4 linked regions of the Caenorhabditis elegans genome follow. The protein of the gene in region 3 purifies or fractionates together with the protein of the main gene of each other region. This does not show direct contact. Each region holds a gene or a part of one and is shown on either strand. Other genes may lie near its edges.

Region 1 (6,835 bases), on a different chromosome or scaffold from region 3:
TATAAAATTATTCAATAAAATAAATTTAAGATCGGTAAAAATCAGCACCTCCGGGTAATCCTCTGCTATCTGACCCAACAGCACCGGATTTCCTAATTGTCGTAAAGAAACAATGATTGTGGGGGACGACTGACCCGTAGTCAACTCACACGGGCGGTCTCTAATCGCATAATAGCCACGTTAATGATGATTTTGCGCCAATTGTAACCGGGTGGAGGTGGAGATTAGGGTTATTCCTGACACTAAATATGCATGGTTTACTTGGGATTAGGAGGTAGCCAACCGGCTGACTGGTTGATTGTTTTAGAGGAAAAAAATAACAAAGATTTACGGTTTAATGGTGGGTGAAAGTTTAAGAAAACGGTTTACAATTTTGATGATAGAAGTTTTTTCGGCACTTTCTTTTTTTCTAGTGAACGCTAGACAAAATAAGAAAGTTTTGTGACCAAACGCTAAAAAATTCTTGGAGGTATGGGGAATTGAACCCCAGCCCTCTCCCATGCTAAGGGAGCGCTCTACCACTGAGCTATACCCCCGACGAGTGATTCGGGTGGCCAGGGCAAAAATTTTTTTGATAGCTTATCACTGATAAGAAGAAACTGCGATGGCCGCAAAATCATGTAATTTTTACGCAAAACTACGGTACATGGTCTTGAGACGAATGAAAAATTTTAATAGGGTGCAGAAAAGTGTGCGCCTTTAAAGAATACTGTAGTATGCTTCTCAACTTTTTTAGACCTTGTACATATTTTTCTTCTGCAACCAGGTACATAATCTGGTTGTATCAGTGATAAGCCACCGAAAAATTTTTTGCCCTGATCACCCGAATCACTCGTCGGGGGTATAGCTCAGTGGTAGAGCGCTCCCTTAGCATGGGAGAGGGCTGGGGTTCAATTCCCATTTTCCGTTCAATTTCACCTCCAGAAACTTTTTTTAGTGTTAGAAGTTTACACGATTTAAGTGCCAAAAGCTGTCCAAAATAGATTTTTGACCAAAAAAATAATTAAAAACACTTTGGTTTGAATAATTTGATGGAGCAAATCGCATTCCAAATATTTTTTGGAAACCAAAATCCAATCACCATTTTGACATTTCCAATCAAAACAACAAAAACATTTGAAAAGAAATGGGGTAAACTTGAGTGTGCTGATGTTGTACTTGTCAAACATGAAGCCTCCTGAGCACACAATATTGTAAATTAAAGTGCCACGTCATCATCTTCAACAGCAGCAGGAGAGCTTCCGTCTGCTCCTTCGTAGTTTTACGACCATTTTACTAGGGGCCAAACGTGCGCACACACATCTGCACAACTTGTAACATATGGGAGAAACAGAGAACTGGTAATAAAATTCGAATGAAGGCGTTGCGTGCTTCTTCTTCTGATGAAGGCCTCCACGTTTTAATTTCTTGAGAATATTTAAAATTTTCGACGAAGAAAAATAATTGGTTATCGTTCGAGGGATTCTTAAGAAAGTGAAAGTTTAAGCTCCTGACTCATTCGGGTCATACTTCCGAGTAGTTCTGAGTCAGAGGTAGGTTGAAATACATATTTACGAGCTTTTACTAACAAAATTTCCTCATAGACTTTTCTGGAAGCAGAGTCAAAAAAGGCAGGGATTTTAAAAATATTTCAGACAATTTTGGAAAACTGCGAAACAAATATATTTCAAAAATATTTCAATTTTCAAATATTTTAAAAATATATTTCAAATATATTTCAACATATTGAAACAGTTTTCTTAAAATGGCAAAGGTCTGATTTGATAGTCCAAAAGTAAGTTCGAACCTAATTTTGTTAAATTTTTAAACTAAACATATTGAAGTTATGCCCATCTTGAGGTTCATAGATGTAGATCAAACACAAACAGCCGAGCCTCTATCTCTCTTATTCTCCGTGAGCAACTTTCCGTTTTAAGTGCACGCGATTACCTATGTAGGCGCATGTGAAGCCTTATTGTACTACAGTGTGAGCCGCCCCGACAAACACTCGACTCAACAGCTTTTTCCTTCAAATTGTCAAAACAAAACAATACGAGAAAGAAGGCGAGACGTGAAACTTGGGAAAGTTATGTTGTTAGTTGCTGTAGCTTGGGTAAAGTAGTGATTGAGTACTGTATGATTACTGTAGTTTTGGAAAATGGGGGAATTTTGTAGGACATTGCGGAAACATGGAACTAGGTCCTAAATCCGGGCTTTCTACCGGAAATTTTGAGTTTGAAATTTCATAAACTATATTTTCTATTTCACCTGGAAAACTGGGCCCTGTAACGACAATTATGTCTGAGATCGTGGCGAGACCCACTTGGAAAAACATCATGTGCCTTTGAACTGGCAATTCCAGAACTCCGGACAAGCCAATCAAAAGACAAAATAGCTTGGAAAACTGTTAACTTTATCATCAAGTTGATCTTTATTCCATATTATTAAATACACGTTTCATAATATAAAGAAAATTTCAATTATTATATTTCCATTTAGAGCTTCTTGAATGGCTCGTTCTTGTCCAAATGGTTGTAGAAGCAATCACGGATCTCGTTGAAGTTCTCGGTACAGAAAGCATAGTCCAAATAGTTGGATGGAGCTCCCTTATGAGCGGTACAGTACTTGAGGCATTCTCCAGAGACACCGGCCTTCTTGCAGCAGTCCTCGTGGTTGTGACGGAGGGAAGCACAATCCCACATTTCTCCGACAGTTGGTCCACGCTCTCCGCAAGTCGACATGAAGTTCAGAATCTGAAATAAGAACGTGTAATGGTTATTTCTAGTAAGCTGACTAAATACATCAGAATTGACGCGCAACTAGCTCTCAGGAGACAACTTACGTTAGCTTGAGAAAGAGCATTGAAGTCACAGAATCGATCGACGCACTCCTTATCGGCATCCTTCAACGTGGCACAGCATAGCTTCAGCTTCTCATTTGGAGTAGCAGCAAGAGCAAGAAGTGGGAGAGCCAGGAGAATTGCGAAGCGGTTCATTCTAGAATTAATTACTATGAATATAGATATGTTAACTTTGAAAAATAAAAGAAAACTGCAACAGGTGGAAGATCGAAGAAATGAAGAATACACAGCCTATCGGTGTCAAGGCCCGGACTATTTAAAGGGTCACCCGGAAGACTCCACCTCTGACATATTGAGGTCAGGCTGTGATAATAAAAGAGATAAGATATCACTCCCTATCATAACAATCCTATTTCCTAGAACACCAGTCACCATTGTACTTTTATCGGATTTTTTGAGGCCGGTCAATGTTGCGAAAGATGAATTGCATGTAATAATGTATAGACTCTGTTATAAGAAGAAACATATAGAAAATATATATTTATTTTCTAGAAGAGATAGTTGGTGATAAAGTGAGAAAGAGGACACACACAGCCGTTTAATGGATTATTGCAGGTCAGGTCAGAAAGAGAAAAGTGGTTGGTACGAGAATTAGTTGTCATTGAAAAAGAGGTGATTAGTCATTTTTGAATCCATTTGCAATCAGAAGAGATAATGAAATGGCGACACCGAAGCAGATTCCAACAACGGCGAACATCCATGAGATTTGGATAAGTTGAAGACGCTCCGGTTTTTTGGAATTTTTTTCGGATTTTTCGATCTGTAAGTTGTGTCTTTTGTGGAACATTTTTTTGTGTTACAAATGTTGAATTGAAAAATTTGTGACGTTAAAGTTAGTCTTAATTTTTGTAGAATTTTTTGCTTGAAAATTTTAATAAAACATGTTCTTTTTACCTTAAAAATTCTAGTTTTTTTTCTCAAATTTGATGCAAAAAATTGCAATTCAGGTGCTTTGAACATTCAACAAAATTCTGAAAATTAAGAAAAAAATTCTCAAAAAATATTCAAACTTCTTGTGCGCGGGAATTCAAGTTTAAAACATTTTTAAACTCATTTTTCTCACTGTTTACCGAAACTATTAGTTTTACAAATGAGATATTATGTTTTGGATCACTAACTTTTTTAGAAACTTTTCCCCCTTTTCCACACTTCTTTAATACTAAATTATCAATTTTTGTTGCCAATAATTGAAATAAAAATAAATTAATCATTTAATCTCCAGTGATTTGGCCTATATTGCCCGTAGGAGTAAACTACATACGGACTGCTGGTTCATGTGATTCGCAACATGATATGGTATGATCTTCGTAGAAATGTTCTTATTGCATAGGATATTCCAACTTTAGAACTTTAAATGCAAATTGAAAAATCTTACCATTTCAACTTCCCTATACCCATTTCTCTGCTCGCTTTCCAAATACAAAACTACGAATCCTGTGGCGATACACAAAATGGTCGGCACACTGGTCAGCACAATTTCCATTGTTGGCTCTGACCATGTCTTTCGATAATTGGCGGCAGCCACGTAGATTGCGGCCACTTAATTTGTATAAAAAGTTTGAATTCTAGTCATGGAAACTTACCAGCAAAAGTGTAGGAGAGAAGGCCAACAATTCGATGAGCCCAATTAAAAATTGAACGTTGTGAGTTGGAAGGTGGGCATCTGGAATAAATAAAAAGTATAAAATTTTGCTATTTTTTTACAAAAATAAATCTACCTCAACAAACTATTCAACGGCTGGGAGAATGCCAGAATAGTAGAAATCGTTCCAAAATCCGTGTGCCATTGTGTCCAGTACCATGCTTCAGATCCAGTACCTTTCCAGGTCCAATTTGTTGAAATTAAAATGCACAAAATCGAGGTTACAATACAACAAACACCAATAAAAGTTGAGGCTCGATGAATTTGAAACCATACGAACATTCCGTAAATTGTATGATTTTTGAACACTTGCCGTCCATATCTTGCAAATAAAAATCCCGTTGGAACAAAGAAAAGCCATCCGAGAATCATTAGAATTGCATGTAATTTTACAAGTAATCGTTTGAATTCTTTACTCAGACCTTCAATTTTCGGATTGCAAATTTCATGGAAATTGAAGAATTCGGACTTTTCGTTGGACCATTTTAAGCTTGAAGATTCACTCTGAAAAATTAAAACTATTACAGGATATATTTCTGGCACCTACCATCAATAGAACATCCCCCGGATAAAAATCAATCTCACACGACGTTAAATTTTCAGATTTCAAAGTTTCTAGTTTGTAGGTTTTGACATCAATATTTGAGCTTCCAATGGGAAATCCGCAAACAAATTCAAGAAGGTTCACCTGCAAAAAAAACGAAATCAATAGAAGAGGCATCTCATATCTCAGTTGTCTTGAACTGATTCGTTAAATATTTTCTGTAGGTTTGTAGTTGAACATTTATCGATATCTCCAAAATAAACCAAAATAATGAGGAATCAAAGTTGATAAATTATCTCACCCCATTGTATATCTTCACTGCTGACCTTTTTTCCTCTGTTTTCCATTTCAAACTCATGAATCCATCGTTTTTATTGCAAGTAACTGTGATATTCACACGACTTGGTGAAAAACAAAATGAATTCGCCGGGCATTTTGCAGTAGAAAATACAAAACCACTGGCAAGTAGAAAAAGAGTAGAGTAGTGATACATTTTGCACTACCTTTGTGTTTTCTCCTTTTTGTATAAATAGGCATTTGAAATGTCATCATCGAACTGGTATTTCAAGTGACCAGCGGACGCAAAAGGGAGAAGAGAGCAACTGGAATGTGGTGGATTAGGAAGAGACGCAGAGTTTGTGACACTGATCTTATCTCACTGATCTTGTACATTTTTTGGGGGGACTTATTGGAGGTATTACGAAAATCAGTTTTTGGTAAAAATCAAAATAGGCGGATCGACGTGTTTTTTAAACATTAATAAAATGATGTCATGTTCTTGGTAACCAATGGTTACCACAGCGATGAAAATTAATAATAACTTTTTAACATAAATAAACTTTGACCACGAGTTTGCAATGTCTGGTTATTTTTAAGTTTTTCTAGAGACTTCAGTTTTCATATATATTTTGTTAATTTTTTGAAATAATTTATGAAAATTTAGAATGTTAAAAAAAAATTTGACTGAAGATATTCATACTAATTACCAAAAAAAAAACTTACCGCATGTTTTCTATTAGTACCGCACCCAATTGCTCCACATTTAAAGGTATCTCAGTTGATTTTAAAGATACCAATAAACAATTAACTACAAAACTATAGAAAAAGAATTGACAAATATTTCTGTAGTTGACATTTTTTAATAAAAACTAAAGAGAGCCAAGATATGCGCAACCAAAGTTGAGTTTAAAAAAACGCAAGCACTTAGATGTTCAATATGTTTATTCATACAAAGTTTGTTTTTTTACAATGCAAAGTAATTATCAGAAACTACCCGTATTCAATAAAATCAATAAATTAGATGAGATTCCAAAATTCCATTAATAATTATACATTTTTATATCCATTGACGACAAGAAGTGACAACGCAACAGCAATGCAGAAGAATACTCCAATCGCCCAAAACACTGCAGGTCCTTTCAAGATGTGAGGCTGAAAATGTTCTTGTTTTTAATAATTGACACAAATTGCTTAAGGAGTTTCAGGACGTATTCAACAAAGGAATAAGCACTACAGTACCGTGAGCTCTCTGACTGGCTTCGAGTTTTCGTCAAAGTCGGTATCCGTTACGAGTGGGGTTACCATCGAGTCCTCCGCCTACAGTTTGTTTTGTTTTCAATTTTTTTTGGGGAAAAAATCACCGGAAACCCAAGTTTTTTGAACATATAAACCAAAAAGTTAGTGTTTTTTAACAGTTAGAAATTGAAAAAAATGCCATGTGAATTATGTTAGTGCTAAACAGAATAAATAAATATACCGATTCGTCAACATCTTCTCTTTCTCTTCGGTTTCTCAATTGCTTCATTCGAAG
Region 2 (8,065 bases), on a different chromosome or scaffold from region 3:
CCGTCACTGGGGAAATTGAAAAAAAAAACCTATTTTGTAGTTCTAAAAGCCCAAATATCATAGTAAAACTTTTCAAAATTATTTTTAAATTCATGTTTTTTCAGTCAAAAAGTGGTGAAAACCTAGGAATTACTCGAAAAATCCACATTTTTGGAAAATTCGGCACCTTTCCAAAATTTTGACAAAAACTTTTTGATTGTGTCATAATAATATTCCGGACGTGACTGTAGGACACAATTTTTGAAGTATCACATTCAATGAGAATATTATTTTTAAAACTTAAGATAGCTTGTTTATTTATTCTACCGTAACCTTTTTGGAATGACCACTAAAGTACACGTTCACTTTTTTTCCCAAAAAAAATTCATATTTCTTTACTCTTGAAATTTCAAATAATTCATTATTAATATTTCTCAAATAATTACTGAACAATTGGATCGAGAAAAGAAAATTATGATGAACGCCGCCGTAAAGTGTAATCCAAAAGTTCAGGTGAGTTTTGAAATTGGATTGATAAATTAAAATAATTCTGAAATTCCAGCAAGATCAGGTCAATCAAAATGCCAACAATCTTATGGTATTAGAAGATGTACTTATTATTCAGAATAATCATTATTTATTGATTTTAGCTTCTGCCAAAATGTCTTGAAATGATTGGAGATAAGGCTAAAAGTTCTGAGCTTCACGTTGCATTTGATGTTCCAACTAATCAGTGAGTACGATGGTACCCGAACACTAGAACATTTACAAATTTTTCAGAACAACTTTTCAATATTCAATAGTTTGGGAAGATTCAAGTCCAGATGCCGATGAAAAGTATCGAGTTTCATGCACTGAGGCTAACAGTAGGGTTTCTAAAAAATTATAGTGCTACATTTTTTTTATTTCAGAAATTATGTTGGCACTCAAGGAGAAAAATATCAAGAAGACTAGCAAACTGTAAGCTTCAATAATATAATTATCTATAAATTGAACCATTTCAGTATGGGATACAAAATAACCAATGAGAAAAGTCGTACAAACTCGTTGAGAGAGAAAGCGGTAGGTTATCAGAAAAATCATGATATGAGAGACGATGAGCAGAAAGTTAGGATCTCTAGAGTTAGAGTTTATATAGAAATTTTCAATAAATTGAGTACTCGAGTTTCATAGTGCAAAAAGTGGTTTTCCAATATTTCATATTCAAACTGAAAAGTTTTGAATTTTCTTTAAAAAAAATTACCAACAGCTCGTCAAATATCTTATATCTAAGTTCGCCAAAAAAGTCTACCATACACTTGTGGGTACGGTAGCTGAAAAGAGTTTTTCGGGTCAAGACCCGAGGTCGGTGAACATAATTATAAAAACTATACAAGATTCGGGGATAATATTCCTGAAATCCTGCCTGGATTCGTTTCAATTCCGTTTTTTTTTTCAGAGTGAAACATTGAACAACGGACTCCCATTTCCTCCAGATCTTCGCAGCCGTTCTCAACAGTGGTAAAATATCGACATGGTGAAAAATAATTTGATTTCAAGTTTCAGTGAAGTGTCTGAATCAAGAAGCTCTTCAGTTACTGCTTCTTCTTCCGCTCCAACATCTACAACTTGCTATGATTCTGAACCGACGAAATCGGACACATCGAAAAAATCATCGAAGAAATCTCGAAAAAGTAGCCGTTCTTCAAAGGTTCCACATAGAAAGTTCAAGAACGTAGGATCTTTGGTAAGTTGGAAATATTTCTTTACTATTTGAGATAGAACAAAGAATCATATTTAAATTTCAGGATGAAAACGGATGTGTAAATGTCAAAGTAGTTGTCATCGAGAGACCAATCATCCGAGATAAACTCAGGTTTGATTCGTTTTCAGAATGAGCAATTGATAAGTAAGTTCCAGACCGATTGCTTTCATTGACAGTGTATTGTCTGCTCATGTGAAGAGCATTCTAATCAATGTCCTTCATGAGAACTACGAAGGTCTACCAGCGGAACAACTGATCAAATCAACTAATGTTCTTTTTGCTTTCCTTGATAAGAACGGCGTACAGAAACTTCGACGTGTTCGGAAAAGTGACGTTGATCACTAACAGTTTTACAATTTACCAAAACTGTAAGTAATCATATTCCTCTAGTCCTGATAAATATGCAACAAACTTTATTTCAGCCGTGGCAGTGTCGTTCTGGTTCTGGATCTGATTGGCTTTGTCGAAAAGGGGAAGAAGATTCCAATTCAAATCGACATGGATGAAGAATAAAACTTTGCCATTTTATTAAAACACCTGATAAATGAATTATAAGGCACATTTTGGGAACATTTGACAAAAAAAACAACACCAAAAGAAAAATTTCGAATAATAGGGATGCTCGAGGACGGGGAATGGGGAGCAAAACAAAGAACAATTTGATATACTATAAACCAGGGGACTGGGAAATTGAAAGCAGAGAAAGTTGGGATCACAGATTATTTTATCAGTTTAATGGTACTTGCAAACAGATGGCACTGTGCATCCGTGCTTCTTGATGATTTCTTGAGCAGCATAAGATCCACAGGTGACTGAAGCTTCGACTCCCTTTCCTTGGATGAATTGAGAAAGGAAACCTCCGACAAAAGCGTCTCCGGCACCGTTGGTATCGACGATTTCTTCCTTTGGAAGACGAGTTACTGGGAATTCGGTGACCTGTAGATTAAAATTGAAAACAATAAATTCAAAAATTATCAAAAACTCTCACCTTATCTCCTTCCACGACGATGACTGGCTCTGGTCCTTGAGTGAAAACAACGAGTCTTGGCTTAGTAGATTTCTTTGGAAGTGCAGCAGCCTTCAAAGCGATCTCCTTGACACAGGTGGTCTCCCATCCATTGGCTTTAGCAAAGGCAGCAGCTTCGTCTTCGTTTCCGAAAAGAACATCGACCAATGGAATGATTTCCGAGAGCTTATCGAAGAAAAATTGGGAGATGAACGGGGCGGAGAGGTTAAGGGTGAAAGTCTTGTTGAATTCGGCAGAGTGGCTTGCGAGTTGGAGAATAGCTGGTGGGCAGACAGTGATGAAGAATCCCTGAAAATTTTACATTGAGAATACTTTTGTGCTTATTTGTAAATCAATTCGATAACTTACAGTGACATAGAAATATTTGGCCTGCTCGATGATCTTCTGATTCTCCTCCTTCTGGAGATGATCTTGAGTGAAGGTGTTAGCAGCAGCCAAATGAGCACAGAGTGATCTGAAATCATTTCAACACGGCAACGATGATTTTTCTGTCCGTCAAACAATGATCCGCTTACCTATGAGTTCCGTTGATGAGGGCTGCGCAGGTACCGGTCTTAACTGTCTCGTTGATCTGATAATGCACATTCACTCCAGCTTCTTTGGCTTTCGATGCCAAAAGATCTCCGTACTGATCTTTACCAACAGCTCCAAAGAAAACTGTTCGGTTTGGTGCGTTCAAAATCCATTGAGCAACACGGAGCGAATTCTGTGCGGCTCCTCCTGGAATGTACTCGACTTTGAAATCTCTGGTAAGCTCGGTGAACATGTCATTGTGCTTGTCGTCGCAAAGAATGGCGTCGTTTTCTTTGAGTCCCCATTTGTCAAGGAATGCCTGTAGATTTCAGCAATTAAAATGAAATATTTTTGAATGTGCTTCTAGATTTCTAGAGAAATCAAAAACTTACCTTTTCAACGGTGGTTTGAATGTCCAACAATGGATTGCACATTCCGATGAGGGTGTTTTCTGGCAGAGGAGACATTTCCGTGACGTGAGGAGATGGGATTACCTGCAGATAGACAATTAGAAAATGAAAAGTGAGAAAAAGGCGAGTTTTGAACGAGTAAATAGACATAAGAGAAAACAAATAAGAAGATTGGCAAAGAAAGAGTGCGAAAAAACCGTTTTCGTGCTTTTTTGAACACGAATAACGCTGTAAAGCCAAGATATTTTGTGTTTTAGGACAATACATTTCCACGAAATCCACGTTGTAATTTGAAATTCCGGCCGAAAGACATTTTTGATAAACAACGATCGCATGGGATATCGGAGTGTCGTTGCAACGTGTTTTAAGATTTTATCGATCATAAATCTTTGCTGACAGAAGCGGAAAGTTTTTAAAACACCGTTGCTATCTTAAAAAACATGAACGTTTAAAAAAACCAAGAATAAAATTTGCAAGTTTCTAAATGTGGAAGTACCTCCTTCAAACACAAATTAGTGAATGCTATTTTGAATAATATTTTGAATAATATATTAATAATGGCTGATTGTTTGATGAATACTGTGTATTTCTTTTCCAATTCTACGATTTTAAAGTGGGAAGCAGTTATGCGGAATGGTCTCGCCAAGAGCCGTCTATTGATATATTTTTCTCAATCAATGGCTGGCGCGTGGCGAGACCAATCCGCATAAATGCTCCTCCCTTTAAAATCGTAGAACTTGAAAAATTCATAGTAAAAATACGATTTTCGAAAGTGGGAGCGATGAGTTTCCAGAAAAGTGAACGATCAGGCGTGGAAATTCAAATGTAATAAGATAACTTATTAGAACTTGGACAAAAATGAGAATGAGTTACACACAAAGTACACGATTCTGATGAGAAATGCGCCTTCCAACTAGCCTATCTTCTATTTTATCGTCCATTACTCCCCAGTCTGTCTGCAGTTTCTAAAAGATCTCCGCTATTTCGTTATCGGTTTTTTGACCGGCAAATTGTGACACTGATAGTATCTACCGATATGCCATCTAGCCTCAGAACAAGAAAAGTTGGCTAACTTGCGGTGGTGGTTTGAACGAGACAATTTACAAGTTATGTTCAATTTAGAAAACAATTTTAGTTGTCAATGGCTTTTAAACCTAGCAATTACATTAAAGTCTATTGCAAACAGTTTAAAATTGAAACTAAGCCTGAATAAACAGACACAGTGCGTAATGCAATTTTCATGTGGAAGTTGCAAAAAAGATAGAAAAAAGAGAAGAAACTACAACGGCAACTGTTATGAAAAAACCGATTGATTTCCATTGTGTTCTATGAACAGAAGGTGTCTCCTGCACATAAGTTCTCAAAATGAGAAAAATTTTCGAAAATGGCCTGATTGAAAGTTGATAGTCGATCAATTAATGATCTATTGGGGTTTCTATGTGGAGTAATATAGAAGTTGTACTCATATTTATTGGCAGTAGTTAAACAATTACCTATATACTCCGAAAAGTAAAAACTACAAAGTTTTTTTCGTACCCACGTTGTGAGTTGATACTCAGCTAATAGGTGAATTTTCATATTCTCCTTCACTGCACTATTCACTATATATATAATAGATAGCCGTTATAGAGCATTATTTTCTATGAAAATTAAACATTTAAATCTTTTTACTTATTGTAAATAAATACTTTTAAAACCTACGTTTTGAAGAACTTGCATATTTCAATTAAATGAAAAAACGTGTTACAGATTTAATATTGCCACTGGAGATTTAGTCTCAATAAACTCCAAGTAGTCTAACATGGCCGCACATTAGTAAATTGCCAAAATTGGCCAAAAATGCGTATTTTTGAGTTATTTCAAGCATATTTGTAGGTCCAAACTATTTAAATTTTTTTCTTTGAAACGGAACTAAAAAATGAAACTGGTAAATGTAACATTTTTTCTACTTCCAAAATTATAATATAGAAAAACTCTTAGTTTTCATTCCTTTTGACTGTATAAAAATTATTTCAAAAATTTTGCGAAAAGTTTTACAACGATATTTGGAGCAGTTTTAAACAACTTCATACTGAAGTTACTCAATATTTAAACCATATTCTGTGCTATTTGAAACACTTGAAACGAAACGAGAAGAAAGTAATGAAGACAACCAACTATCAGTAAAAATCAGTGATCTCAGAAAATTGTTTCTTATCATTTTCCTATTGATGACACTTTTAAAAGATTTTCAACTTTTTGTTTCATTTTTGGAAATTTTTCAGGTGGGGTAGTGTCATTGGGATTCTGTACCAATATTTGTGTATATTAATTTACAGTTTTGGAAATTTGCCAAATGCGCGAAAAATTTGTGCTTTTTCAGAAATGCAGAGCATTGTGGTATGTTTGAATACTCACAATGCTCAAATACAAATTTTTGAAACATACTCTTCCATAGAAAAAACCTATATTTTGTCGATTTCCAAAATTAATATAAAGGAAAAAACCTGAGCTTCTTCTTCTACAGCGATTTACTATGATATTCAGCTATTTTTGCACTTGAAGAATGGCTTACTAGTTAGCTCATTGAAAAAATTTACTAAGAAAAACCCAAACAAGAAACTAATTGGATTACAACAATTATTGAAGACAACGCATGCTGTTCCCAGTTTCTTGAAGCATATTAAAAACTTCTCGAAGGAGGTTTCTTGTATGTTTTGCTTGAGTTTTATTATTAAAACAATTACATCTTTTACACATTATTTTAAAGAAATGAGATATGTATTGGAAATTGTGGAAAATATGGCAATTCAAAAATTAAAGTCATTGGAATAAAACACGGGAAGTAAATCACTGGGGAGAATCCGTAACTGAGATTGTGAGGGAATAAGATGAGTTACATCTGATTACGAACATCAAATATTTTAGGCGTAGTAGTGGAGGACCTCTTTGAGAGTTGGGTAGTATTCCAACATTTGTGCATTTGGAATACGAGTCCTGAAAAAATAATTGTGATTACTAACTTTAATTATATTGAACTCTAAAAACCCCAGTTCAAATGAAGAATATAGAGATTTTCCGATTAAAATGCTGCAGTGGCCTTTTCTTCTGCGAAAAAAGTATATGTGAAAACTAAAAAAGGGTTCCTAGGCATTCTTACTTTATTACATTCCCATTTATTTTAAGATAATAATGAAAAAAAGAAAGCTACGTTGTCCTGTCCTTATTGAGCGGTTTTGTATTAAGCTGAATTTAATAGGTCCTGTATAGGTCTGTAATACTGTTATACGTAACACCCTAATAGGCCGTACCTGTATATTTTTTCTGAAAAATTCTTGAAAATTCTCATAAATCTAGAAAATTAATTTTGGATGCACATCAGCTTTTACATTAAAAATAATACAACCGACATGACTCGCACAATAAGCATAACATATTTCAAATGCAATTTTTCTGACATCACACAGCTGTTAAATAATTCTCAAAAATTCTACAAAAATTCTCGATAAACTCTCACAATCTGTTTGAAAAAAAAAAACGTACAACTCGTTCTTTAACTGTCTCAATATGTTCTTCTCCCTCTGTACTTCCATGATTCTCGCATTTTCTCTCTGTTTTCCAGACTGAACCAGATTGTTCAATTGTTCAATTTTTTGATCCTTGACCAAATTACTGCGAATCAAGTTCTCAAATGCTTCCTTCTTATATTTTTCTTCGTTCTTCTTCTTCTCACGGCATCGTTTAACTGCCAAGTTGTTTTTTTCCCGTTTAGAAGAATATTTTTCATCCTGAAACCAAATAAATTGTTTAATGTAATACGCAAAGCGTTCACACCTTTTGATCTTCAGATACTTTCTCATATTTTCTTTCTTTCTTCGGTGTATCAATGCTTGGCAATGCTCCTGTATGCATCTCAGAATCTTCCTCCCCAAAGCCTTCATCGGAAATATGAGTTTGGTCGTCGTCGTGGTTCAGAACGTTTGACATGTACGGCTCCTCTTTGATGGTAACGTTTCCATAAAAATAATGATTTCTTTGATCGCAGTGGTGTGGAACATGGGATGATTGATCAGTTGGGTAGAAGTTAGGGTCATATGGATATTGATGTTGACTACTCATAGGATCTGAAAAGTAAATATTTTAATGTACGGTAGAGTCGTTATGGAAGACGTTCCTCTTTTTTTTTTATATCGGAGAATCCGTACTGGAAAACGAATTCTAACATCGAGAATCACTCCTATTCAATTTAAGGGTTTTAGATTCCGGTTAAATGTAGAAATATTGTTCGTGAAAAAAGCGTGTGATATTCAAACTTACTAGCTGCGGGATTCATGCTGAAATTACTTCCACGACCTGGTACATTCCCTTGATATCTCGGATTTTGATGCGCGACCTGGTATGCTGGTTGGGCTT
Region 3 (9,570 bases):
AATATCTCAGTTGTCGCTTGTTTTATTCAGGAGTTTCCAACTGAAAACATTATCGGCATTTATTTTTCTATAGCTTTGTAGTTTAAAATTTATTGATATCTTCAAAATGAACGGAGTTATAACCTTTCGAAGGGAAGTGGTGGCTATTCTTAAAGGAGTTCTCAAAATTTCCATGCGAATTGTTTTTGGAGAACATTTCAAAAAATAAAAAATATATTTTAATAACTAATACTAAAACTAAATATTTAATCTCAAAATCTGCACAAAAAAACTCAATAAGCTTGACCTCTCCCCGCCGAAGTAATACGGAGTGTTACAGCGCATCCTCCCGATGATATCTGCTCTCGTGTGTTGGTTACGTAATCAGCATAGCCGCGCAACAGACTCTTTCATTACACATCATTATCTACCGAATAAAATTGGTTAATCAAGATTTATGGCAAGTTGCACGGGTGGAATTAATGACTCACTGGGTGGGTAGTTCTTCCGAAAATTGGGTGGAGTTAAAATGAAGTACTAAATTGTTAATTGAAGTATGATAATCTAAGTTTTTGAATCAAAAATACATATAAAAGCTTAGAAAGTTGTTTGTTTACTTTGAAAATTTTATTCTGAAATTCGAAATAGTGCCGGAAAGTCGCCGTCTGCCTAAAAACTTGGAGCCAATTTTAGGCAACTTTAAGGCACAGTTTGAGGAATTTTTAAAGTTTTCAAACAAATCCACACATTATTTGCAGATTGAACAAACATTTTCCTACGTTTTTCCATTAATTACTAGTTCAAAAAGTTGAATTTTGTACGAAACAGCTATGCTAAACGGCGAATTACAATTGTGAAATTCTAGATCCCGAGAAAAATATTCCAAAATTTAAATACAATTTTTTAAAAAGGAAACAAAATTGAACCATGACCAGCACTATAGTGCGAGCAGGTTCAAAAGTATACTGGCCAAGACCGTCTGCCAGTGGACGTACAGGACATCGCCTCCTTCTGTTTCCCAGACAGCCTGCCATCTCCACACTAGTTCAAAGCCAACTACACAGCTAATAAAGGCAGGTGGTATTGTTGCCAGGAAATTGACAAAAATACAGATTTCTAAACTAGAATTCAATTTTGAAAAATAAATTTAAAAAAAAAACCATGTTTTTAAAACTGGGGGACTTTGAAATAATTATGTACTGCGAAACTGTATTTATACGAAAGTACATTGGCGAATTCAAACAGAGCTGCACCTTTCAAGTTAACTAGACGAAAACTTGACTACAAATTCAGAGCAATCAAATTTACAAACAAATAATCAAAGAAAAAGTATACAAAAGAGTACGGAAAAACATGGCGAGACCACGAAATAGCAGTATAGTGCGAATACCAAAAAAAAGTATACTCTAATCCAAGAAATGACACCACTTACAGGCGGTGTGACCACGTCATCACTCTTTGTCTCCCTGACCTCTTTCCAATTTTAGCTCCCGGGAACCGCCTGGGGTCAAATGGTGTAGGGGAATTTATCGATCGGAAATCCAGCGTTTTTATGGCTGGGGTCTATTTGGGCAGTAAATCCGAAGGAGTATTCGTATAGTGTATTAATTCTTTAAAAAAAGGATTGAACATAAATTTTAGAATGTTTAGAAAATTTACTTGATTTTATCTGAAAAATTGCACACTCTATCAATCATTGTTTACCCAGTATACAGAGGGTATCGGCTCAAAAAATCAATGTACTAAATAATTTTGAGATCAAGATAAATTTGCCAAATAGTTAATATTTTCTAGAAGATCACTAAATTAAAAACGTTTATGTTAAAAAAAAACTAGAATATACTAAACATAGACTAATAGTTCTTGTCGACGAGGCGTGCAGAACTTTTAAAAAATTTGAAAATGGATCTGAAACTAATTTTTAAGGTACCGTTGAGAAGTTAGTGCCTGTTTTTTTCAATTTTTTTTATTTTTCAAAAATTATATAAGTATGTTAAGTATTTACCATATCTTGTTCAGCTGCAAAAATCATTATATCTTTTGGAAAAGATAAAAATGTTTCATAATAGATTTTCGGAAAAAAAAATTATTTTGGAGCAGGTATTTTGAGAAAAAATATTTTTCAAGTTTGACTAAACTAAAAATATTCACCCGAGCTGAAAAACGTAAAATAATGATTTTTGTTTAAAAAAAACCGAGTAGTGAAATTTCAGAAACGCCTGCTTTGCATAGATACATTTTAGTTGTTCCAAATAGTTTTTTAAAGTATAAATATGCAGTGAGTGGGAATTTCGTCTCAATAAACTTATACACACGTTTTACATGATCAAATATAATATCTGAAAAACTACAAAAAAATCAGATTTTTCAAAATTTTCTGTCAAGTTTTTGGTAAATCTCAAAATTTCCAAAATCATAAATTTTTGAAAAATTCCAAGAATTGCTGTAGGCTTGAAAATTATTATAGAAAAAAACTGAAACTGTAAATAAAAAAATTTTGAAATTTTTCTTGAATATGCTAATTTAAATTGTTTTTTTTTTAAATATTCTACTTCATCATTTTTCATCTCAAAAAAAAATTGAAATTTCCTATAGCATTCATAATTTGCCTAAATTATTTATAGGAACTCATTCCAAATCCCACCACCTGTACCCCCACAAACTGTTTTGGCAGATTAAGTGTGGAATAACGTAAGGAAACAAATGAGGTGCCGAAATGTAGTCGCCTATGATCTGATATGCACACCAAAAAAAAGAAGTGCCTTCACTTCATCCTCAATTATGCAATCAAAAATCTGTCGTTTGTTTGGTCTCAAGGTCGATGGTCCTCTTCGTCGGAAACCTTTTGAAGTGAGACGAGACCTGTTGTCCAATTATTTGTCGATCATCAACTGTTTTTTTTTATTGTTTCGCCAACACTTCCGAGACTGGTTTATCCCCTGATATTCGACCATAAAATACATGCGGGAAATATATATATATATATATATATATATATATATATATATATATATATATATATATATATATATGATGTACTTCATTATTTCGAATCAAAATTACAAATATTCATAATAAGAAATGTGCGATAAAGAGTTCTACAATCCATTTTGTTTTCTAATTCACAAGTTGAGCCAAAAGTCTAGTGAAGTCTGATCCCAACTTTTGGAACTTTGGAGGTGTCAATGTCGTCGTGTGGGAAGAATGGATGCTTGACAGCGCTGAAAAATTATACAATGATAATTTGCATAGCTTTGTGTACTACACGAGGAAAAGTGTGATTTAATTTGTTTATAGGATTGTATAATTTTGAGCTGGAATTCTTGAGTTTGGACCATCGAATTTTTGCCAATTTTGGAAATTTCGGCAGTTGGCAAAATTGTCAATTGCCGAAAATTTCCAAAACTGGCAATTGCCAAAATTGCCAGTTGCCGGAAATCAGAATTGCCGGAAATATAATTTTAGCCTAAACATGCATTTTAAGGAACAATTTTCCTTTTTCAAGCTCAAAATGATTGAATCCTTGATGGATTTAACGCTTTCTTTCAGAAAATGACTAACTGAATACTAAAAACCAATTTGCAATTTTTTCAATTTCCGAAATATAGTTAGGTTTGAAAATCGCCGAAAATGTCCGGCAATCGACAATTTCTGCAATTTCGGCAATCGCCGGAATCGCCGATTGCCGGAATTTTTCAAAACCGGCAATTGATGAAATTGCCAATTGCAGCGCACTCTTGGTTTGGACTACTGAAGATTTACCGGCCCACTGACGGGAAAATATCCTGAAGTGAGCGAGTGGAGGGGAAATAATTTCGACAAAAATATAAAAGTTTCAAACTTGAAATGGTTTTTTTTAATTTTAAAACATTCGTTCCATAGATAAAAAACCTACAAATCAGCGATGAAAAGTCTAGTTCTGGTCTCGATACTGTTCAAAGTGTGCATATCCTCATCGCTCAGCTTAAAATCAAACGTCGAGATATTCTCAACAATTCTGTCCGGACTGACACTCTTCGGAATCGTCGAAATACCGTGTTGAGTCAGGTGGCGAATGAGAATCTGTGCAGCAGTTTTGTGATACTTGGCAGCCAGTTGTTTGACGATTGGCTCGAGAAGTGGGTCACCTTCCGGCCAGACACCGTCCGGACGAGCAGCTTTTCTGCCTGGTGAGCCAAGTGGTGCGTATGCTGTAACAGTGACTCCGAGTTTTTTGCACAGAGCACGGAGCTCTTGTTGTGGCCAATAGATGTGACACTCGACTTGTTGGTTGGCTGGCTTCACTTCGGCGGCGTCATAGAGCGCTTGAAGCTGGTTGCAACTGAAGTTGGATACTCCAAGGGCCTGAAAATTATATTTTTGGAGAAAGAACACTACGTGTAACTTGAACATGGATAGTTAACAAAATATTGGCAACTAATTTTTCTACATTCTGCTGAAATTTTATAAGTATATGTATTCCAAAAAACGTTACAGCAGCTGACACCCGGTGGGTCTAATTTTGACTACATTTTTTGAATAAACCACTGGAAATTTTCAAGAAAAAATTTAATAAGAACATTTTTAATACAAACTTTTCATCACATGGACGGCAAACGATTTTTCGGGCAAACTGCCTGTTTAAAAATTTCCGCCAAATCGGCAAACTGACAAATTGCTTACCGAATTTGCCGGAAAAAAGGCCAATAATTTTCGAAAAATTGTGGTTTTGCACTTTTTTTTTTGGAAATTTCAGAATTTCAATTTTAATCGGCAAAATTGTACGCATCCTATGAATGTTTCTACATCTGTTTTGAAAAATAAGCAAATCCTTTGAAAATGTTTAATGAAAACGGGAAAAAATTTCAAAAAGACACAGTGTTAAGTGCTTCCGTCTTATAAAAAATTCCCTCTAAACACTTCCGGCAAATTTATATAATGGCGAACGGCGAATCAGCGAATTGCCGAAAATGAAAACTTCCGGCAAACCGTCAAACCGGCAATTTGCCGTTTTGCCGAACTTGTCGACAAAAAAATTTGCCGAATGGCATTGCCGCCCACCCCTGATTCAATTACTTTATGGAAATCGAAATTGCTGATGTTCCTTCAAGACCAAATCTCACAAACCTTAAGCTTTCCCTCCTTGTACAACTTCTCCAACGCTCTCCATGTATCAATATGAGCGATTTCTGTAACAGCAAGCTCTCCATTCTCCATCAATGGAGCAAAGCTTCCCTCCTGATGTTTGAATGGGAATGGGCAATGGATCAAATACAGGTCAATATACTCAAGTTGAAGCGCCTTCAATTGGCTTTCCACACATTTTGGAACATCTTCCGGGGCGTGAGCGGTAAATGGAAGTTTAGAGGTGACGAAGATGTCCTCGCGTTTCAGTTTTCCAGATGAGATGTACTCATGGAGCACTTTTCCAATAATGTGCTCGTTTTGGTAGAGGTGAGCAGTGTCTGAATATTGAAAAAATGGGATTTTCAGTTGTCAAAACGTTGTCAAAACTGCCCTCCAAGGATCAACTTTGCCAATGGTTTTATTCGAAAACTCGAAAAACTGGACACCGTAAAAAATCTCAACATTTGTGTCAAAAAGTAGAAAAATACCTAGAATTTGAATGGGAAAATCTGAAGTTAAAGGTGTGAGTAAAGTTTGTCGGTTTTTTGAAAATGGGTCGTAGTTACCGAATGTAAAAAATGTTGGAAAAAAATTTCAAAATTTTTAATGTTTTTTTTCAATTGTGCAAAAAATTTAATTAACTGGTTTGAGCAAGCCACCACTTTTTTTTTGAGTTTTCCGTTTTTGGCCAAAAATAACATTTTTTAAATCGGTTTTTATTTTCCAATTATTTTTTTGTGACATCTCAAATGGAAGAAGAAAAGAAAACATGACTAAAAAAAAATTATGGTTTCCATCTAGGACAGCACTCACCAATAAGTCTGTATCCAGCATCAAGAGCTGCACGAAGAGCCACAGTCAGCTCAGCTTCATCCTTCACCTGCCACGTTCCCAATCCGAAAAGTGGAAGCTGAGCTCCGGTATTCAATGGAATAGAGTCTACGGTCATTCTGCAAATACTCAAAATGAATATGACCGAAAAGCAGAAAACTGATAAATGTAAAAGGAGAAGCTACGTTTAAACCAATAGATGACAAAATGATAAACAAAATAAATGATAAGAGGTATTTTGTGACCATCGGCAAGAAATAGAGACGAGAGATGAACAAACGGTTTTCGCTCAGTCACAAAAAATGAATGCCGGAAAAATAGAAAAAAGATGAAAAGACCGTAACGGAAAATGTTCAATGATGCGGAGGCCAATTTTCACTTTTTTTTCATGCAAATTCCAAAAACATGACAATTGTTTTTGTTTGTGGCAATGTGAGAACTGAGACTATTGACAGAAATTTGAAATACATGCAGATAGATGTTCATGTGATGAAACAGTAGTAGGAAGTGGACGACGTTGAAATGAAGGACGCCTAGATAAGAGGGGAAAAGTGTTGTCAGATGACCGAAAAGTGGGTGAGTTCGAAAATCATTATTTGATCGTTTGAAGTAATGAAAAAACAACAAAAGACACAAATTAAAAATTTTTAAAAGGTGAAGTAGCGTAATATCGTGCCAAAATTAGGAAATATCATAGTAAAAATTTTCAAAAATTGTTTTAAAAAGTTATATTTACAGTCAAAAAAAAAAAAATAGAAATGCCGGAAAGGCCTTCTGAAAATAAAAAGTTTATTGTTGAAAAATCTAAAAGAAACTTTAAATAGGGCCTTAAAATTGTTGTTTTGTGCAAAAATTACTTTGAATTTTTCACAGCAAACTGAAATTTTCAACGACCGTTTGAGGTATTTTTTAAACTTTCAAATAAAAATGAATAAAAATTTCAGATTGAACAAACAATTTTCTACATTTTTTTTAAATATTTGATTTGAAAAAGTTATACTTTCGTACTGAAATGAACAGTTCTGTACGTTTGCCAATTCTTTGAAAAACCGATTTTTTATAGAGTGCAATTTTTATGTGACAGCCTGGTTGTTGAAATCTTAACTATTATCAATTTGCTATACCGTTCAAAAATTATTTTGAAGTGGACGCTGGCTTCTGCAGAAAAGTTGATTTCTCATTGAATATGTAAAATGATATTGAAACCTGAAACGTGCAAAAATTTTGAGATTAAAAAAAACAATCCCATCCAGAACATAAACTGTAAAAATCTGACAAAAAAAATTCCAAAAACCGGTTGCCGAAAATAAAATGGAAAAAATAGAGAAAAATAACATATGTACAGTATAAATTATTAAATTTCCATTGATTAACGGCCAAGCAACTAAAAGTGTCTAACTAGCCTCTACTGAAAATTAAAAATAAAAATTTGAGGTAAGTACACGATTTCTTAAAATTCCTAAACTTGGGTTCAGCATTTTCCAGTTTTTGAAACAAAACTTGATAGCGTGGTTCTTCGATTTCACAGATTACGAATCTACAATATTAAAGAACATTTCGGGATTAATTTTCAATCTATCACGCATATTTGATCTACGAGAGGCTGATCTACCGGGTTCGATAGCTATCTTCCGAAAGCAGATCACTCGAGAAGGGCATAATTCAGTGTGTATTTGAGATGTCAGGTTCCTCGTGCTGCATCTTTTTTGATGTTTTTTGTAATGTTTTTAATGTTCTATGCAATTATGAAAAATTTGGATTTTTAGAAAATTCTAAAACTTTTTTTTAAAAACGATTATATAATACACCGTATTTCTACTTTTAGTATTACGTCAATTGTTCAACTTTGACAGCTTATATCTCCGTTGTCCGTTGTTCTATACAAAACTTGTCAACTGATAAAATATTTGTTATTTCTTTATCTATCGTTTTGTAAAACAATTATTTTTTTGCCATATTTAATGTTAACCGAGATATAACTTTTAAAAATGTGCAATACTATGAGAAGAAATACGGTTTTTTTGGGTTCAAAATTTTCTACATACAAGCTAAACCTGTTCCGAATTTAGTAAAAACATGAAACGAGATGATCTCCAAGGCCTCCGAGGGCTTGCAATCGGAGCAGTTCTGGCCTTTCACTTCTTTCCGAAAACATTTCCAAACGGCTATATTGGAGTCGACATGTAAAATTGCAAATTTATCAATTCAATAGATTCATATTAACTTTTTTTAGGTTTTTTGTGCTTTCCGGTTTTCTTATGGCGATGATTATTAGCTCAAAACCTATCACTTGGAATTCAGTCTATCAATTTTATTTTCGTCGTTCAAAACGGATTTTACCTCTGTATTTGCTAACTGTTCTTATTGGTCAGTTGAAGTGTTCAAATTCTTTGGTATTGACACAAATGTAATACAGGATGTGTGCTGGTATTCTTCATATTCCCCACAACTTTTCTTTCGATGAACATGGACTCCGCGTTCAGCTCAATTTTCTTGTACCATAATATGGCACTCGGACGATAACATGTATTTCAAAATGGTGTGACACTTTTCATCGATAATTCTTTCTTCAAAATTTTCAAAAAAAAAAAAACCAAAAATTTCAGCTTAATCAAGCAGACGACATTTCACTTATACCTGGTCATTGTGCGTCGAGATGCAGTTTTACCTACTTGTCCCGGCAATTTTTTTGGTTTTTTCCATGTGCAGAAATGAAACTTCTCTTGTTTTGTGTCATATGGCGCTAATTATTGTATCGCTTGGGAAATGTTTACTATCTTCTGAGCAAATTGCGTTTAACAGGTAAAGTTTTAGTGGGGTAATTAATTCCAGGTTGTAATCAGAAAGAAATACTATTTTTTAGTTTTATTTTTGGCAAAAACACTTACTCAGATGAGAAGAAAGAAGACCCAAAGGATGATAAGGGAGACACGAAGAGCCCGGTTCCAGATGGTGGTGCAGCTGATGCAAAACCGGTCGACCAATCGCAGAAGCCATTCCCCAAATTCGAGATGCCAACGGAGAGTAAGAAAAAGAAGAAGATGGCTGAAAATGAAGTTGATAAGAAGGAGAAAATGAAGAACGGATTCTATCAGGAAAAGTCAGATGAAGATGACACGCTTGAGAAAGTGGCTAGTCTGAAGGTCGAGCAATCCGATAAGACCAAGAGATCGAAGAAAAATAAGAAATAGGTTGTATGAAGGGCACTGAATGATGGGTGATTTATGAATAAATTGATTTTTTTGTTTCGTTTTGTTTTGTTTTACCACAGAATCACGGCTTCCGGTAATTCAGGGGATATTATATTACTGTAACAGGTACCGGAAGGCCTAACAGATATATTAACAGTGATGTGCGGCCAACCAAGTTGCCGGAATTTTTAGGTTCGGCAACTTCGGCAATTGCCGATATCAATGTCAAACACTTTGTAGCTCAGAAAGAAGCATTCAGAGAGCCTGAAAAATGCTAAAATTCACTGTAAACGAGAAAAACGACCAGAATTTTTTCCAAAACGCTCAAAAATATAATTTCAACAAAAAAACTTTGAAATCTGGTTGCCGGTTGCCGAAAAGTTGCCGACGTTTCGGCAACCAAAAGTTGCCGACGTTTCGGCAACCGAAAAGTTGCCGGTTGCCGAAACTTTATGGGTTCGGC
Region 4 (7,108 bases), on a different chromosome or scaffold from region 3:
AGAATATTAAAACTTCCAAATATTTGTTTTTTTCAGTATCCGCCGTCGTACTAATGTCCCTTCTAGTGTTGGTATTTATCATGAATTTCGAGGCAATTATTTCTGTAGCAGTGTCAATTGTATCAATATGTCTCGGAATAGTTGTGTACCTCCATTTATGGAATGTGAATCTCGATGCAGTTTCACTGATATCTATGCTAATGTCAATTGGATTTTCCGTGGACTATTCGGCTCATGTTTGCTATCACTACTTTGCTCATGTGCATGAGGATGTAAGGATTTTTCAGCTTAGTGTGAGGGTATCGTAGTGGTACTATAGTAGTACTGTATGACTACTGTAGGGGCACTGTAGGAGTAGTGTAGGAGTTCTTCTGTGGTACTGTGGGAGCACTGTAGTTCTGTAAAAAAATAGTTTCAAAAAACTTAATCTACAGTAGTCTAAAATACAGTAACCTGGGATTCCGTTTCTACGAGGAATCTCCGTTTCATAAAGAATCACAACACTAAAAGTTGTGTGTGGCTGACTTAAATTAGCTCTACAGTAATCCCATCAAGCTAAGCCACTTATTAAGACGCCCGAGCTACAGTACCCCTTACTGTACTGGCATTCTAGTCAAATACTATACTATAAAATTGAAACATGCATTAACCCTACAGTACCCTAATCTATGATCTTATTTTTAAACTATTGTACCATCACGTGGTGTCAGAGAGTCCCATTTCGGTTTGAAATACGTAGATCTACAAAAAATGCGGGAGTTGAGACGCAGAGATTTCAACTGATTTTCAACACATTTCTCTTGGCGAAATATCCCCGCATTTTTTTTGTAGATCAAACCGTAATGGGACAGCCCCACACGATGTTTACATACTTCACACTACATCCACCATACCAAACAACCGTACCCCATTTTCAAACCAACTTCATATTTTTCTAGGAGCAACTCTGGAGATCACATAACTACGCCGAGACTCGTGACCGTCTTCTAAGCACCTTCCGCGGAGTCGCCTGGCCAGTAATGCAGTCCGGGCTCTCCACGATTCTTGGCATGTTCCCATTGATGTTTGTACGTGCGTATGTTGTAGCAGTATTCTGGAAGACTGTGATCCTGGTCGGTATACTTGGAATGCTTCATGCTCTCATTCTGTTGCCAGTAATATTCATTTTAACGCATGACATTAAGCTCTTATTCCGACGGAAACGTGCAGTTGCTCCTACTCCGCATTCGATGGAATTGGCTTCATAGAGCGTTTTGTTGTAGTTTGTATGTTTTTTTGAAAACCCAGGGTATTTTCTTTTCCATTGATTGTATTATCATCTAATACGGGTTGTTCACATCTCCATTGATTGTTTGATAACATGTTTGAAATAAAATTTTCGTACTCAATAGTAAAACAGTACACAGCTCTATGTTTTAGGTTACATATGAGTATGAAATAAATGAAAAGAGTGGTTCGAAGCACTTGAGAATTATCTTCGGTACTCAAGCAGCACTGTTACTGTAGCGAACAGAACTATGAAATTTTTAGAAAATTAAATTACACTAGTGAATTTATATTCCCACAATAATTTGAATTTTTACAAGGAGATATTAAAACTATTTATTGTATTCAATTATCAAACAATTTACAACAAACTTTAGTACTGAGTATCTGGGCGAATCTCGACCCACTTCTTGATAGCTGGAATCGCATAGACCTTCTCCCGAAGAGCAACCAACTTTGGCTCTCCCGCTGGAGTGAATAACTGATTTTTGTCCAAAGTTGTGATGCACTCCACAACTACAATATCGGCAAAAGTGAGCCCATCTCCAACCAAGAATCCTGACTTGCTCTTCTCCAGGATCCCATTGATGATTACGAAGAATGCATCTCTAGCCGGAACGACATCTGATTGCATGATCTTTGCAATCTCCTCAGCTGGCTTTCCAGCGGCATGTGCTTTTCCGACTTCTCTGAAGGATCCCATGAAATCCTTGAATTGGTCAACGATGGCATCTGCCCAAGCTTGCTCTTCCGGGGTTTTTCCAGCATATCCAAATTTATTGGCAAGATAGCGGATGATTGCAGCAGATTGTGGAATTTCAAATCCATCGACGGATAGGACCGGGACTTGTCCGAGTGGAGTTTCTGAAATACTTACTTTGAGTTTAGTGTTTGCCACATATAAATGACCTACTTTCTTTCAGCTTTTCCCATGTTCCATCTCCATGGGTCATACGGAAATCCTCAAATGGAACATCGGCAAGATGGAAGAGAATACGAGCAGCTTCTCCGTAGCCACGAGCGTTGAAATAGGTGAGTTTGTAGGAAGGCATAGTGATCTGTCTGTTTTAAATATAGGTATGTGTGATAGTGTGATTCCGATATCAAACAATTTTTCGAAATAGCATTGGAAAAATGCAGTCTTTCCGCATAGTCTTATCAAATATTTGACAGAAAAAGTCAAACCATGATTAATTTTTACAAAGTATTTCAGAGAAAAATAACAATTTAAGGTCAATTGTACAATTTTAAAAAATGTATCCTGGACCATAAAATTTTTTTAACTGTAAAATTGAACAGAACTGAGTTTAGCTTCAATCTAGATAGAAAAATAAAGTTAAAAATAGAATTAACACGTTCAGAATTAACGTATTTGAAAATAAAATGAGATTACATGAACATAACATAACGATTTATTGAATTAATATATCAGCACATTTAAAACAAACCTAGTTCAGGGTATCTGGACGAATCTCAACCCATTTCTTTATTGCTGGAATCGCATATACCTTCTCTCGAAGCGCGACCAATTTTGGTTGCTCCGATGCAGTGAAGAGCTGATGTTTGTCCAAAGTTGTGATGCATTCCACAATCACAATATCTGCGATGGTTAGACCATCTCCAACTAAAAATCCGGACTTGCTCTTCTCAAGGATCTTGTTGATTATCACAAAGAATGCATCTCTTGCCGGAACGAGATCTGACTGGATGATCTTCCCGACCTCCTCGGCAGACTTTCCAGCAGCGCTTGCTTTTCCCACTTCTTTGATTGATACCATAAAATCCTTGTATTGATCGACGATAGCATCAGTCCAGGCTTGCTCCTCCGGGGTTTTTCCAGCATATCCGAATTGCTTGGCAAGGTAGCGGTTGATTGCAGCGGATTGTGGAATTTCAAATCCATCAACTGATAAGACTGGGGCTTGTCCAAATGGAGTTTCTAAATAGAAACAAAAAATAATGTTCAATTTCTGTCTTGGCTACTTTATTTCAGTTTTTTTTAAATTTTAATATGGCGTTTCAAGGTCGCTATTACTTACTGGCTTTGAGATTTTCCCATGTTCCATCTCCAATGGTCATTCGGAAATCTTCAAATGGAACATCGGCAAGATGGAACAGAATACGAGCTGGTTCTCCATATCCACGCACGTTAAAATAGGTCAGCTTGTAGGATGGCATTTTAGTTAAATGAAAACCACAACCAGACAGTTTTCTTGTGTGATTCTGCAAGCAAAATGATTGGGAAAAATTCCTCCGCAAAGTGTTATCAAACTGTCGTGGAGATCAATAAACCAAAAACCAAGAAATGGATGGGGGGGGGGGGGGGGAGGTGGGAGAAGAGTCAATAAAAATTCGGACGGAGAGTCAATAAAATCCAAAATTCTACTTTAAGTTAAAATAAAAAATGTCGAACGAGGTAAAGTGCCCGCAATCCAATGAACGATAATCGAAGGAGTGGACATCATTCCGTTTTCTATTCGCCTCTTCCATGCACTTGCAATAAACAGAACTTGCAAGTGTTTGGTAGAGAGGCGGTGAGAGGGCACGAACCTGTGGCAGTCGGAACGAGAGACCAACTCGTTATCCAGCAGGCCACGCGTGCACTTGGCAGAAACGGTGTTGTTGAGAATGATGTTGAGTGCGGGTTTTAGAGGAAGAAGGCAGCTGCGATTGAGAGGAAAATTGCAAATAAGAATGCAAATAGTGGTGCATTTTAAAAATTTATTCGAATTTGTAATTATATTACTTCATTGAACAAAATTTCAAGAAAATTTTCGATTTAGTACTGAGTATCTGGACGAGCCTCTACCCACTTCCTGATAGCTGGAATTGCATAGACCTTCTCTCGAAGAGCAGCCAAGTTTGGTTGCTCCGAAGCAACAAACAATTGATTTTTCTCCAAAGTAGTAATATTCTCAGAGATGACAATGTCCGCGAAGGTGATACTGTCGCCGACTAGGAATCCTGACTTGCTCTTTTCAAGAAGCCCATTGAGAATCTTAAAGTACGAATCTCTAGCTGGAATCACTACTTCAGAAGTGATCTTTGCAATTTCTTCCTGAGATTTTCCAGCGAAATGTGCCATGATACGTTCGCGGAATGATCCCATGAAATCCTTGAACTGATCAACGATGGCATCTGCCCAAACCTGCTCTTCTGGGGTTTTTCCAGCATATCCGAATTTGTTGGCAAGGTAGCGGATTATTGCAGCAGATTGTGGGATATCAAATCCATCAACGGTCAGGTAAGGTACTTGACCAAATGGGGCGCCTGAAAAAATATATATATGTGAGTAAGTATTTGGAGCATTCTAAAAATTTCAAAATTTTCAGAAATTTTCCAAAAAGCTCCAGAAGTTGTAAAAGTTTCTAGAAAAAAATTTTTAGATTAAAATTCGAATCCCATCCAAAACTTCATCGTGAAAAATAATGTTTTTTTTATTGTGAATTTCCCGCTAAAAAAGTTTCGAAACAATTACATATACATAGCCCTAAAACTATTTTATAAAAAAAATTGATTTTTCCGGCGAAATTTTTTAAATAATTTTTTGTTTTAATTTGGAATGCCTTTTTTACGAAAAATGATGCCTACAATTTTTTGAAAAAAATTTAACCCATCCAAGACCGTGTGCTCAGAAAATTTGGCTTTCCCATTATTGTCAGAACTTTTTTTAAAATTTGAATGCCATCCATAACTTCTTATCAAAATATCGCGCTATAATAAGATAGGCAGGCAATCGGTAGGCCCCAAATCTCCACTAACCGTCTTTAAGCTTCTCCCATGTTCCATCTCCGTGTGTCATACGGAAGTCCTCGAATGGAACATCTGCCAAGTGGAAGAGGATACGTGCGGCCTCAGCGTATCCACGAGCATTGAAATAGGTGAGCTTGTAGGTAGGCATTTTTGACAACTTTTCTGTAATGAAGTAGTATTTATACGCAAAAAAGGAAAACTGGAACGCCGAAAATAATTGGACAACAAAATAATCGCATCAATTATTTTTCTGTACAACTTTGCCAACCCTTTTTATACTATATGTTTACCGTCTATGTCTCTGCCTTCACGTGTGCTGGCAGTTGATGCTTGGTTGTGTTTGAACAATTTGAAACGATTGATCTTTTGCCGTTTCCTGCCACTTTGGTTTTTGGTTGTGGTTTTTGGTTTTGTTGAAACTAGGACTTCAAAAGCCTGAGCCTGAGCCTGAGCCCAATTTGACGGTTTGCCGATTTGCCAGAAGTTTTCAATTCCGGCAATTTGTAGATTTGCCGGGTTTTCGGAAAATTTAATTCCGCAATTTTCCGGTTTCCGATTTGCCGGAGGTTTTTAATTCCGACAATTTGCAGATTTGCCGATTTGCCGAAAATTTCAATTCCGGCAATTTTCTGGTTTGCCGATTTGCCAGAAGTTTTCAATTCCGGCAATTTGTAGATTTGCCGGTTTCTCGGAAAATTTATTTCCGCAATTTTCCGGTTTCCGATTTGCCGGAGGTTTTTAATTCCGACAATTTGCAGATTTGCCGATTTGCCGAAAATTTCAATTCCGGCAATTTTCTGGTTTGCCGATTTGCCAGAAGTTTTCAATTCCGGCAATTTGTAGATTTGCCGGGTTTTCGGAAAATTTAATTCCGCAATTTTCCGGTTTCCGATTTGCCGGAGGTTTTTAATTCCGACAATTTGCAGATTTGCCGATTTGCCGAAAATTTCAATTCCGGCAATTTTCTGGTTTGCCGATTTGCCAGAAGTTTTCAATTCCGGCAATTTGTAGATTTGCCGGTTTCTCGGAAAATTTAATTCCGCAATTTTCCGGTTTCCGATTTGCCGGAGGTTTTTAATTCCGGCAATTTGCAGATTTGCCGATTTGCCGAAAATTTCAAGTCCGGCAATTTGCCAGTTTGCTGATTTGCTGGAAGTTTTCAATTCCGGCTATTTGCCTATTTGCCAGAAAAAATCGTTTTCCGCCCACCCCTGATTTGTGGTCTCGCCCGTTATTTGTCCGCGGTCCCCGCCAAAATAAAATTGTTCTAATTGTAAGTATAAAAATAGTTGCATGAATATTTCTGAATTTATTTCAATTTATTCACAAAAGAAATCCAGAAACTAAATTAATAAATAGTATCTGGTCGAATATCCACCCAGCTTTTGATTGCCGGAATTGCGTAGATCTTCTCCCTGAGAGCTGCCAATTTCGGGTGCTCCGATGCATCGAAAAAATGAACTTTCTCCAGGTTGGTAAGACTTTCCACCACGACAATATCAGCAAATGTGAGCCCATCTCCAACGAGAAATCCTGACTTGCTCTTTTCAAGGAGGTTTGTGATGATTTCAAAATACGAATCTCTAGCAGGAATTGCAACTTCTGAGGCAACTTTGGCAATTTCCACATCCGATTTTCCAGCCTTTTGTGCAAGTTTAAACTCTCTAAATAGGCTCATGAAATCTTTGAATTGGTCCACAATAGCATCTGCCCAAGCCTGCTCCTCTGGAGTTTTTCCAGCGTATCCAAATTTATTGGCAAGGTAGCGAATAATTGCAGCAGATTGTGGAATTTCAAATCCATCCACATATAGAACTGGAACTTGGCCAAATGGAGTTTCTGGAAAAAATAAAATAGTTGGAAAATTTCAGATAAATATTTGTGATTGAAAATTTCTTGGGCCCGTTTTTTGACAAATACTTCAAATAGACTGTAAATTTTCAATAAGAAATTTTTGAACAAAAATTTAGGAAGAATTTCGTTTGATCTGAACAGTATACATTATTATTATTATTGAATACGTTTATTTAAACGTGAAAATAAGAGAAAAAAAAAGAGGAAAAATTATAAATTATAAATTATATTGAAT

What was found.
Region 1: the proteins of exc-15 (region 3) and dbd-2 fractionate together in Caenorhabditis elegans (co-fractionation; one large-scale study listed by BioGRID). This does not show direct contact.
Region 2: the proteins of exc-15 (region 3) and adk-1 fractionate together in Caenorhabditis elegans (co-fractionation; one large-scale study listed by BioGRID). This does not show direct contact.
Region 4: the proteins of exc-15 (region 3) and gst-27 fractionate together in Caenorhabditis elegans (co-fractionation; one large-scale study listed by BioGRID). This does not show direct contact.

Annotation. Positions count from the first base shown.
Region 1 is NC_003280.10:4,559,090-4,565,924, reverse strand, and holds dbd-2 (DB domain-containing protein), read right to left. Parts: upstream 2,976-6,835; 5' UTR 2,975-2,975; coding exon 2,822-2,974; intron 2,733-2,821; coding exon 2,475-2,732; 3' UTR 2,465-2,474; downstream 1-2,464. Other genes in the region: M03A1.8 (ascorbate ferrireductase (transmembrane)), read right to left, coding at 3,456-3,599, 4,215-4,378, 4,423-4,502, 4,558-4,985, 5,029-5,169, 5,327-5,518; M03A1.3 (Cytochrome b561 domain-containing protein), read right to left, coding at 6,352-6,456.
Region 2 is NC_003282.8:11,207,075-11,215,139, forward strand, and holds adk-1 (Adenosine kinase), read right to left. Parts: upstream 3,758-8,065; 5' UTR 3,731-3,757; coding exon 3,656-3,730; intron 3,583-3,655; coding exon 3,266-3,582; intron 3,205-3,265; coding exon 3,099-3,204; intron 3,039-3,098; coding exon 2,712-3,038; intron 2,660-2,711; coding exon 2,456-2,659; 3' UTR 2,235-2,455; downstream 1-2,234. Other genes in the region: R07H5.9 (Kinesin motor domain-containing protein), read left to right, coding at 454-492, 542-577, 630-712, 760-845, 891-939, 984-1,041, 1,418-1,479, 1,525-1,705 and 2 more; zip-6 (BZIP domain-containing protein), read right to left, coding at 6,577-6,649, 7,196-7,440, 7,487-7,776, 7,970-8,065.
Region 3 is NC_003283.11:4,479,969-4,489,538, reverse strand, and holds exc-15 (NADP-dependent oxidoreductase domain-containing protein), read right to left. Parts: upstream 6,081-9,570; 5' UTR 6,035-6,080; coding exon 5,899-6,034; intron 5,424-5,898; coding exon 5,086-5,423; intron 4,324-5,085; coding exon 3,875-4,323; intron 3,201-3,874; coding exon 3,122-3,200; 3' UTR 2,996-3,121; downstream 1-2,995.
Region 4 is NC_003280.10:15,162,226-15,169,333, forward strand, and holds gst-27 (glutathione transferase), read right to left. Parts: upstream 3,484-7,108; 5' UTR 3,445-3,483; coding exon 3,306-3,444; intron 3,206-3,305; coding exon 2,715-3,205; 3' UTR 2,665-2,714; downstream 1-2,664. Other genes in the region: ptr-20 (SSD domain-containing protein), read left to right, coding at 37-272, 939-1,247; gst-26 (glutathione transferase), read right to left, coding at 1,640-2,130, 2,180-2,318; gst-28 (glutathione transferase), read right to left, coding at 4,046-4,536, 5,029-5,167; gst-29 (glutathione transferase), read right to left, coding at 6,368-6,858.